Tribolium castaneum: one gene and its partner. The protein of the gene in region 1 purifies or fractionates together with the protein of each later gene. This does not show direct contact. Links are inferred from orthologs where the notes say so. Each region holds a gene or a part of one and is shown in the gene's direction. Other genes may lie near its edges.

Region 1 (4,644 bases):
GTTACCATATGGTCTGTTTGTAATCACAACTTGCGGTAATAAACTGGTTGCGTGACCATTGAAAATGCGACAAAACCGTCCGTTTCGTGATAATTAAGTACCATAATAGGTCGGTGGTACATCGAGACGATGAAAAATTTCGAACGGAACTACATTTGACGAAAATTTTTTGACATGTGCCAGACCATCATTGCCTACTTAACTTACGGGTCTCACCATCGTGGAAAGGCGACAGCATGGGCATGGGGGAGGCCGTTTGCCCCTCGGTCGTGGCTTGGAGAGCAGTTATGTTGAGGTTTTTCAGGGCGCGCACCGAGACTGAGGCCACGTAAGCGTCGCGGCGCGAATCGATGTCGTCGAACCGGCGCAATGCCACGGCCATATCGATCACCACAATGCGACACGATTATTTTTATAGCGCACGCCACTGCTCGCCCGGAAAATTACAAACCCCGCAAACACGCCTCCACTGGTTTATTTGAACAGACCGCGCAGTCACGTGACACCAGCGCTGCCTTCGTACAAAAAAAAATAAAAAGCGTGCTCGATTGTTTATGGAAATTGGATGTTACGTCATGCTTTTACTGCAAAAATCGAACTGATAACGCTATCACCTACCTTTGTGGCTTACTAAAGTCATATAAAATGGTAGCGCCCTTCTGGACGATGACTCCCACAGAAGCAAAAACTAAAGAAAAAGGTCCGTTCAAGGGTCGATCAAGGAAAGTGTCCGGCTGGAGTTTGCTGCAAAAACACCGAGTTTGATTTATTTTTAGGCAGAAAAAATAAGCAAAAAGTATGCATGTAACGTGATCTCACCTTTTATTTGTAGCACCTTCCACGGACCATCTATGACCGAATTAACGCTCAAACAATTAGACGACACGTCAGACAAAGTACTAAACTAATTAAAATGCCAGTTTGAAGGCACAATTGGGGGAAAAACCAACAACACAGCTAAATTGCTGCTACTTTACTGAATCGCCATATGCAGATAGTCGCCTGACTTTTCGACGAACTCACAGGTGCGCACCCGCAACCGGACAAAACTTAAATCCCTAAATTGACACGAAAAAATCGGCTAAAACGGGCTTTGCCCTCTAAATTTGTCCACAGTCGTTTCGGCAAAGTGTTTAATTAATTACTGGGGTGTGTTTTGCAAGCCAGAACCCTGATTTGTGTTACTTTAACCCGGCTTAGTGGCACCCGGTAGGTGGCGCCCCTGATTTGGCAATCATCTGTCACTCTTCTAACACTGAGAGAAAAAGGAATGAGAAGAGAGTTATCAAAAGCGCAGCCATTAATGTCAGAAGAAAGTGATTGCAGTGTCAAAAATAGCCCAATTTGAGTGTTTTAACGCTTGGCTGCCAAATAAAGGTGAGTAAGCGTCCCCCCGATCGTTTGGGGGCACAGTTCAAGTGTCGGTGTCCTTCCTTCCGTTGGTCAATTTTTGTGATTTATTTATGTCGCAGGTTACGCTATGGTCTACTGATTGCCATAGCAGGTGAGCAGTGCATTCCCGTGGCATGGATGATAGCAACACGTAAGTATTTTTCAATCGTCACGCTTGGCAAAGTAACGAGGAAGCGCCCCTGTAAAAATCGGGCGTGAGTCACGGCTCGGAGTGTACGCCCCCGCCGTCACACGTGTATTGGTTTCCGATCGAAAGGGGTGCAAATTTCTGATGGGGTTCGTCGGGCTATGGGGCGCAGGCGCGGCGTCGCGACGCAGTACGTTTGATGCACCGACGTCAGTTTTCGCGTTTTTACCGAAAGTGGCACACCCTTTTTCGAGCTATGGGGTGGAAAGGGAAGGCGGCGTGATGTTCTAGGGGGCCTTATTATTGATTGCGGGGGTGATCGTTGACCAAAAATATATTTTTGCATTGTCTCATATTCCGTCTTGTGATAACGCCTTGCACTTTTACAATAATCAAAAATATAAATAAGGTTTTTGTATAGACGCTCAATTTAAACGATCGTGAGGTGATGAACGAGGTGCTCATTGGAATTAAGAGGACGCATTCGAAAAAACATGTCTAAAACGATCAACGCGTATAGGATGTAAGTTGGTTTTGTTTTCAGTTCAAGCTTTTGTGTTCTTGTGGCGGTCTTGCTTGCCTTTCGTTTGTGCTACTTGAAATCCGGCGTTTTTTCTACAAATTTCTAACCTAATTGTGGCATAATTCCGCCGCCACTTCCTTGAAGTTGTCGTTTATTTCCAGTAAGAAAATTGAAAGTTTGGGAAAAATGACGGCGATGTCGCAGGAAGAGATCGTCTCAGCTGTGCGAACGGTGGCTCAGGGGTTGGAGGCGCTCCGCTCAGAGCACGCCGGCATCCTCCATGGCCTCCACGAAGCCCCCGATCCGGTGGCCAATGAACGCGCCGGTCTGGTGCAACAAAGTGCAGAAATGATCGAATTGGGACTGGGAGAAGCGCAAGTATGTTCTATTTTTCTTTCTAATCAGATAAAATCGTCGGTGTGTGAGAGACGAAAGGGGCACCCGATTGCATCGATCGGGGAGCACCGATGACTCATACTAAGGCGAGTGGGGAGGGAAGGAAAAGGAAGGAGAGTGTCGAAGCCAATTGATGACTTTCTAAAATTGGATTTAATTTATTTTGTCGCGGTTCTATTATTTTCGACGGGATTTCAGATGCCAATCGATTATAATTGGAGGATTAAGATAAGAGATTGGGTTGTAATAAACCATGAAATGATTGTTTGTTTGTTTTGAATGAGAGATAAAAAAGAAATGGCGGCCTAATTCCGGGTTTAATTTGTTTTATTTGAAAAAAAAAATAAATAAATAATTAAAAATTGTGAAAGTCGTACTTGGATTACGAGTTGTAGAAACTAACAATTATTTAACTGTAACAAACCATGCAATTTAAAAGTTAAATGGTAAATTTGACCTAGAACTTGAAGTTTTCTTCTATAATTACAGATAAAAATACCTGATTAAAACTGAAAAAAATCTTCTTATAAGTCAGTTTATACCGGTCTTGAGTAAATTACATATGATATTATTTCACAACCTACCCAAAAATTATATTGTCATTAGATTGTGTACCCACGATTTTAATTAAAAAATTTAAAAAATAATTATTGAGACCAAAGTACAATATTCAGTTTTATTGTTGATTGTTCATAAAAATCTCATTTGCTTGTAATAACGTCATCACTGTCATTACATGCATAAGAATAATAAGTTTGGTGATGAGTTTATTCATGAATTTGCTTCAATAATATTCACAATACTTCCAAGTGTCTTAAATATCTTTTGAATGATACTTTTGAAGGTGACGAAACAACAATTATTATTGTTAAATCATTATACTTTTACCATATTTCTTAACAAAAATTGGGTGTTTACAAATTAAAATCTGTATCAATTAGACTTTCTTTCTGCTCATCGAGCTTTAAATCTCGTGGGATGATTATTGATGATGTTTATTGCGGTTTTTATGTCCTCACCCTATCCTTTTGTTTTTCTATTTCCACGTTTTTTATTCAAACGTTGTTTTTCGTTCTTGGTTTCCAGGAAAAACAAGTTTTTATGGCTTTGGTTATAGGGCTGTAAAAAACTTGGTGCCTCAAGTATGTTCGATATTTTTTGTATAACATGATGGCCTGTTTCGGTAAATAATTGTTAAATTAACACTAAAAAGTTCTTCGTTTGGCAGCCTGTAATCAAATTAATTTAAGCCGATCGTAAAATTGAGATAATTTCATCGTCTTATTGTAGCAAGTGTCATAAAAATAATTCGCTTTTGTTTGTTAATTTACTTATTAAACTGAATTTTTTCTTTCTGACATAATTAACTCCTGCTGATGCCTGATTTTAAAAATGAAACCACTGACCACAAAAATACAATAATTATAGTCTCTTGTAACGAAAAAAAGTCGCGTGTTCGAACTGTCCTTGGACAAGTCTCCTCACTGATTTTTTAAATTGTTACTCAAAATCAATGAAAGTAATTAAATTTGTGAATTTAAACACCGTGAAAGGGATTTTGCTTCCAGGGAAACGCATTAATTGGTAGAAATGTCGCATTTTAAGGCAAGTAAATTTCTCCTTCAGGTGATAATGGCCTTGGCCAACCACCTCCAATTAATCGAGGCCGAAAAACAAAAACTGCGAACTCAAGTGCGTCGCTTATGCCAAGAAAACGCATGGTTAAGAGACGAATTGGCCTCCACCCAACAAAGACTCCAAGCAAGCGAACAGACCGTGGCCCAATTAGAAGAAGAAAAACGTCATTTGGAATTTATGAGCTCCGTTAGTAAATACGATCAGGACGTCAACGACGACAACACTAGCGAGCACTCACGAAGCGAAAAACCAGATCCGGTCGTCGATCTTTTCCCAGACGATGATAACGAGGATCGAAATAGTAGGTTTACGAAATTGTAAAGGGTGGAAAAAAATGACAATCTTTTGTGTTCTTTTAAAGATATGTCACCAACGCCACCCAATCAATTGCAACTTTCACAACAAGTGAATGCCGGATATGAAATTCCGGCACGACTTCGCACGCTGCATAACTTGGTGATTCAATACGCCTCTCAAGGACGGTACGAAGTGGCTGTGCCGTTATGCAAGCAGGCACTGGAGGATTTGGAAAAAACAAGCGGACATG
Region 2 (4,451 bases), on another chromosome or scaffold:
TTAATTTGCAACCTTGATATAAAACAGTTCTTATTTATTTATTTTGAATGTCTTTTAAATTTTCTTTCTACCTTTTATAATTTTTTTACTAAATCTTTCAACTAATAAACTGTAAAGTAAAAATACAGAAATTAGAATTGCTTTTTTACTGGAAAATTAATGAAAATAAATATGTAGGTTGTCTCTCAAAACCTTGCATAGTTTTTTTCAGGAAGATGAATTTTATTTTAATTCTAAATAAAAAATAGCAGTTCATACTTTTTTTTTCTCAGACTTTTTCTGCTTTCGTTATTAATTACTACAAAGTTGTTGAAGAACAAGTTCTTAACTGAAAAAAAATATGCATAAATGCATAAATGTTGTTTCCTGCTAAAAGTGCGTGGAGGATTATTTCCAGTTTTCCAAAAAGCTTAAATTTATTTGAAATCAATTTGTAACTTATTATTAGCTTGTCTTTTGTCAAGTAAATTAACTATATACTTTCTATAAGACCAACAACTAGAAAAATTTACCACACTGGAAACCTTTCTCTAGGAAATATGATGTTTATCTTTTGAAACATCAAATTAATTAGAACATAACTAAGTACTGAATTTAAACTAATTAAGAGTTATTTGCCTGTTTATCTACTGATTCGAAGTGAGACATTTCTTTAGATTAAACTCAATCTCGATTTTTTACAAATTAACACTATTATTTTTTTTATTTTAGCTATTTCTATTTTTTCTTTAAGTACACAAAGTTTGTTTAAATTAACATTTTTTTAAAGAATTAAAAAAAATATATTATTTCACTTCATTGATAGATTAATAACGTTGTAGAAATTGGCTATAGGCAAAGAACGACTAATTGGTTCTTTTCCACATTTTTTGTAAATTTTTAATAGTAAAATTAGATAACGAATATTTTTGGAAAATAATATTCACGTGCAAAATATTTTTTATTTTATATTTATTTTTTAATAACATTTGTTGAACTGAGGCTTCTCGTAGATTTATATTTTACCACCCCTATGATTATTGTAATAGGCGCAGTTTTTTTATGAAAGTTTGTTTTTGTTAAATATGTATTGTTTGGAGCTGAAGTTTTCTTGAAAAAAGTTTTGATTATAATTTTAGACACATTTTCAGTTTTTGTGTATTTTTTATGCATATTTTGCTTAACTTTTAAGGTTATTTTAGCCTTGTTTTCCGTCATTTTGTACTAAAAAATTCGAACTCAACACATAACACTATTAATTGTATTATTATATGTTGTCAAAATGCATTGTAAAGAGTTCCACAGAAACGTCAGTGTTCAGCAAAATAAAATCTTCACTGTATATTTTAATTATTAAAATTTATTGCACTGTTCTAAACAGATGTACAAATAATTATCAACGATTGTAAAATCTGGAGATGGGAATAACTTGGCTGCTTCCTAAGAATAATGAAATCCTCTAGAGATAAGCTTCATTAATTGAAGTCCTCGTGCGCGTACAATACATCTAAATGATCCTCCATCCAGCTGAAGTTGTCCTTGTAATCTAATAAGACTGCATCATTCACGAAATCTGCGATGATTTAACGGCTAAGTAAATTATCACAAAGACAAGCGGCTTTCCTCAAAGCAAAGATACGCAAGGCAGGACAAGCAACAGGCTCCTAGCGCAGAATCGCTTTATCACCCCAATCAATACTAGAGCGGGGTTGAAAATAAACATGGCTGATAGTGAGTTTGAAGAATTTAGACACAGCTTTGAAAAACTAACATCGCACACCAAAAATTCAGCACCATTTTATTCGTAAGTACAATCGCCAACCCTTTGCCAAAATATAAATCGTCAATGAAAGACACCTCCGCTTTCTCGACCAACTCTCGAGTATTGATTTCACGTAACGTTTTTAAAGCTTAGTTCATGATGTTGTCGTGGATGAAGAATCGCCCACGTCTTCCAAGAGCGACCCCGAAACAGACTGTGATATTGTGGAGGAGAGCAGACTCTCGGGCTCCTCCACAAGCGAAAAGAAAGAACCTTCGAGGAGTACTCCCATTCCTCCCTGGACGGGAGAACGCAGGAGGAGAAAACTGCCCGAAATCCCGAAAAATAAGAAACGTAAGTGGGAATTCACATCACACTTTCGATTCCGGTATTTGCAAAAAACACAATTTTTGTTAGTCTGACTTGCTTTTAACTTGATTATGAAAATCATTTGTGGGAAAGGTCAGGTTGAATAAAATAAAACAAAAATATTCAAAATGTTTTTTTAAGGTGCACTTGTTAATAAAATTAGTTCAGTTAAGAGTTAACTCTGATAATAAGTTCTAATCTTTTTTACAAAAACCAAAAAAAAATACACAGAAATTAATTTGATATTCTACCCACTCCATTGACTTGTAAAAGAAATTAATTTTCACTGGTAGGTACTTTGCAAGCTCTTGTACAAAATAATGAATTACTTTACTCAAAGCAGAAGGCAAATCAATATCAATATCAATGTTTCAACTGCTGTATCAAACTTTATGATTGTCTAGAACAAGAATAGCTGGAAATTTAATGAATAGACTTTAAGTTTACATTCATAAATTGACTTTACTGAAAGACTTATCAAAAGTTTTTGGTTTAATTAGGACTGTACACGAACTGTCTCAACACATTTTCTCGGACAAAATCTGCAATTAGGTTTCATGTTAATATTCAAATCGTAGTTGATACAGCCAAAAAATCTAATACATTTTTACCGTACGTTTGTTTAAAAAATAGATTACAGTGAAAAAATTAAGAAAGTTAGGCTTGCTTTTCAGAAGCTTTCAATTAATATTTCTAATAAATTTATAATAGGGCACAATAAGTGGTTATTTTTTTCGGTAGATCTAAGAGGATTTGAAAACTTTATAAACTTTTTCTTCAAAAATATTAATAAGTGCCGACTTTAGCTAATAAAGCTAAAATTCAAACTACTGACCGATGATGAAATGACCACTTCATTTGCAGGAGAAAAATTATAAACCATGAGTTTTTTTTGAAAAGTCTATAATAGAAAGATTTGGTAAATGAATTGACAAAAAGTAGAAAAAGAATAAAAACTTTAATTTGAAAGAAAACTAATTTGCAATAAGCTTTATTTATTATGTATTTTTTGTCAAAATACATTGAAATGTTTTTGTACCCTTATTAGTAAGATCAAATTCCTTCATCTTCTCTTTTGTTATTATATTACTTAATAAGATTTTAGAAAAAATAGAATCAAGATTCAAATTTTTCTAAAATAAAGGCTAATTTTAAAATTGTCATTTTTGTTTCTAAATAAATTCATCAGAAAAAATAGATTTGTTCTATATTTAATTTAATAGTCATACTAACATTAGTACTTCGACTTTCATAAGAAATTGGAAAGTTCATAAAACACTCTTAGATTGAGTTTGAAAAAATTTCTTTTTTGTTTTCGAGGATAAATAAGTTCCTTAGTTTATAAAAATTTTCTGAAAATAAAAAACTTTATCGTTCCAAATAATATTATATGCATTTCTAAGAATTCCAGAAACTTTAACTTGTTGGAGTTTTGAAAAAATAATTTTTTGAGTTTTCCAGTATAAATTAATGAGTTTCAGTTTATCAGCAACCTCTAATAAATAAAAGAAAATGTATCTGTAGATATAGTTTAGAAAAAATTTTGATTTTTTGGGTACGTTTTTTAGCAAGAAATTAAAAACTTACCTATGAGCGACATCTAATATTTAAATGCTTCGCTGCAAAAGATTTTGCTCAGCTAGTGTCCTCTAGCAACTAAGTAGCTTTGTCACTTTTTTTTTAAACTTCAATAATAAAAGAAATTAATAGTTTTATATTCTAAATTTCAAAATAAATACTTAAAACCACTCAAAATTTTTGGTTATTATCAAATTGATGTTGAAGCTACAGCAATATTGTTTTATTCTAAAATTGTTCAATTTCTTACTTAATTTTCTCACAAAAATCTGGAGTTTTTATCATGAAATATGTCGAAGACAATAAATTTTTTTATTACAACAAATAGCTAAAGTCCGTAATACAGTATAACTTATTTGAAAATCACTAGGCTTTACGGACGTCCATAACGTATTTTTTTGCACACTAGTTTGTAAAAAATGATAACTTTAAAATTTTAAACTACAGTACAATCTCAAAAGTGTAAACACTAAAAGTCCAGGGCTACTGCATCTGTTCGTATTATCGAGGCTATAAATACATTTGGACATAGGTAAAATAACTCAATTTTTTTTTTATTACAAAGAGTTTAATTCTTTATACATATTTTTTAAGCAACAAGTAGAACGTATAAAGTTTGTTAAAATAATTCTCATCTTATTGCCTGAGACGACTTCATGACAAACCACTTGTAAAACAAGTCGACAAGAAATTACACTAATACAAATATTTATGTTTTTTTTCCACATGTAACTGGTTGTTTATACCTGTGACGTCCGATTAC

What was found. Proteins that work in one complex are often made in the same cells at the same time.
Region 2: the proteins of Klc (region 1) and Aplip1 purify together in Drosophila melanogaster (affinity purification with western blotting, with the first as the bait; 3 studies listed by BioGRID). This does not show direct contact. The link is inferred for Tribolium castaneum from reciprocal best matches to the Drosophila melanogaster genes Klc and Aplip1.

Annotation. Positions count from the first base shown.
Region 1 is NC_087402.1:3,660,164-3,664,807, forward strand, and holds the start of Klc (kinesin light chain), read left to right. Parts: upstream 1-1,500; 5' UTR 1,501-1,526; coding exon of another isoform or gene 1,527-1,543; intron 1,544-1,961; 5' UTR 1,962-2,034; coding exon 2,035-2,063; intron 2,064-2,224; coding exon 2,225-2,441; intron 2,442-4,085; coding exon 4,086-4,398; intron 4,399-4,458; coding exon 4,459-4,644. UniProt on the Drosophila melanogaster protein: Kinesin is a microtubule-associated force-producing protein that may play a role in organelle transport. The light chain may function in coupling of cargo to the heavy chain or in the modulation of its ATPase activity.
Region 2 is NC_087394.1:6,458,579-6,463,029, forward strand, and holds the start of Aplip1 (JNK-interacting protein 1), read left to right. Parts: upstream 1-1,640; 5' UTR 1,641-1,700; coding exon 1,701-1,783; intron 1,784-1,889; coding exon 1,890-2,095; intron 2,096-4,451. UniProt on the Drosophila melanogaster protein: The JNK-interacting protein (JIP) group of scaffold proteins selectively mediates JNK signaling by aggregating specific components of the MAPK cascade to form a functional JNK signaling module.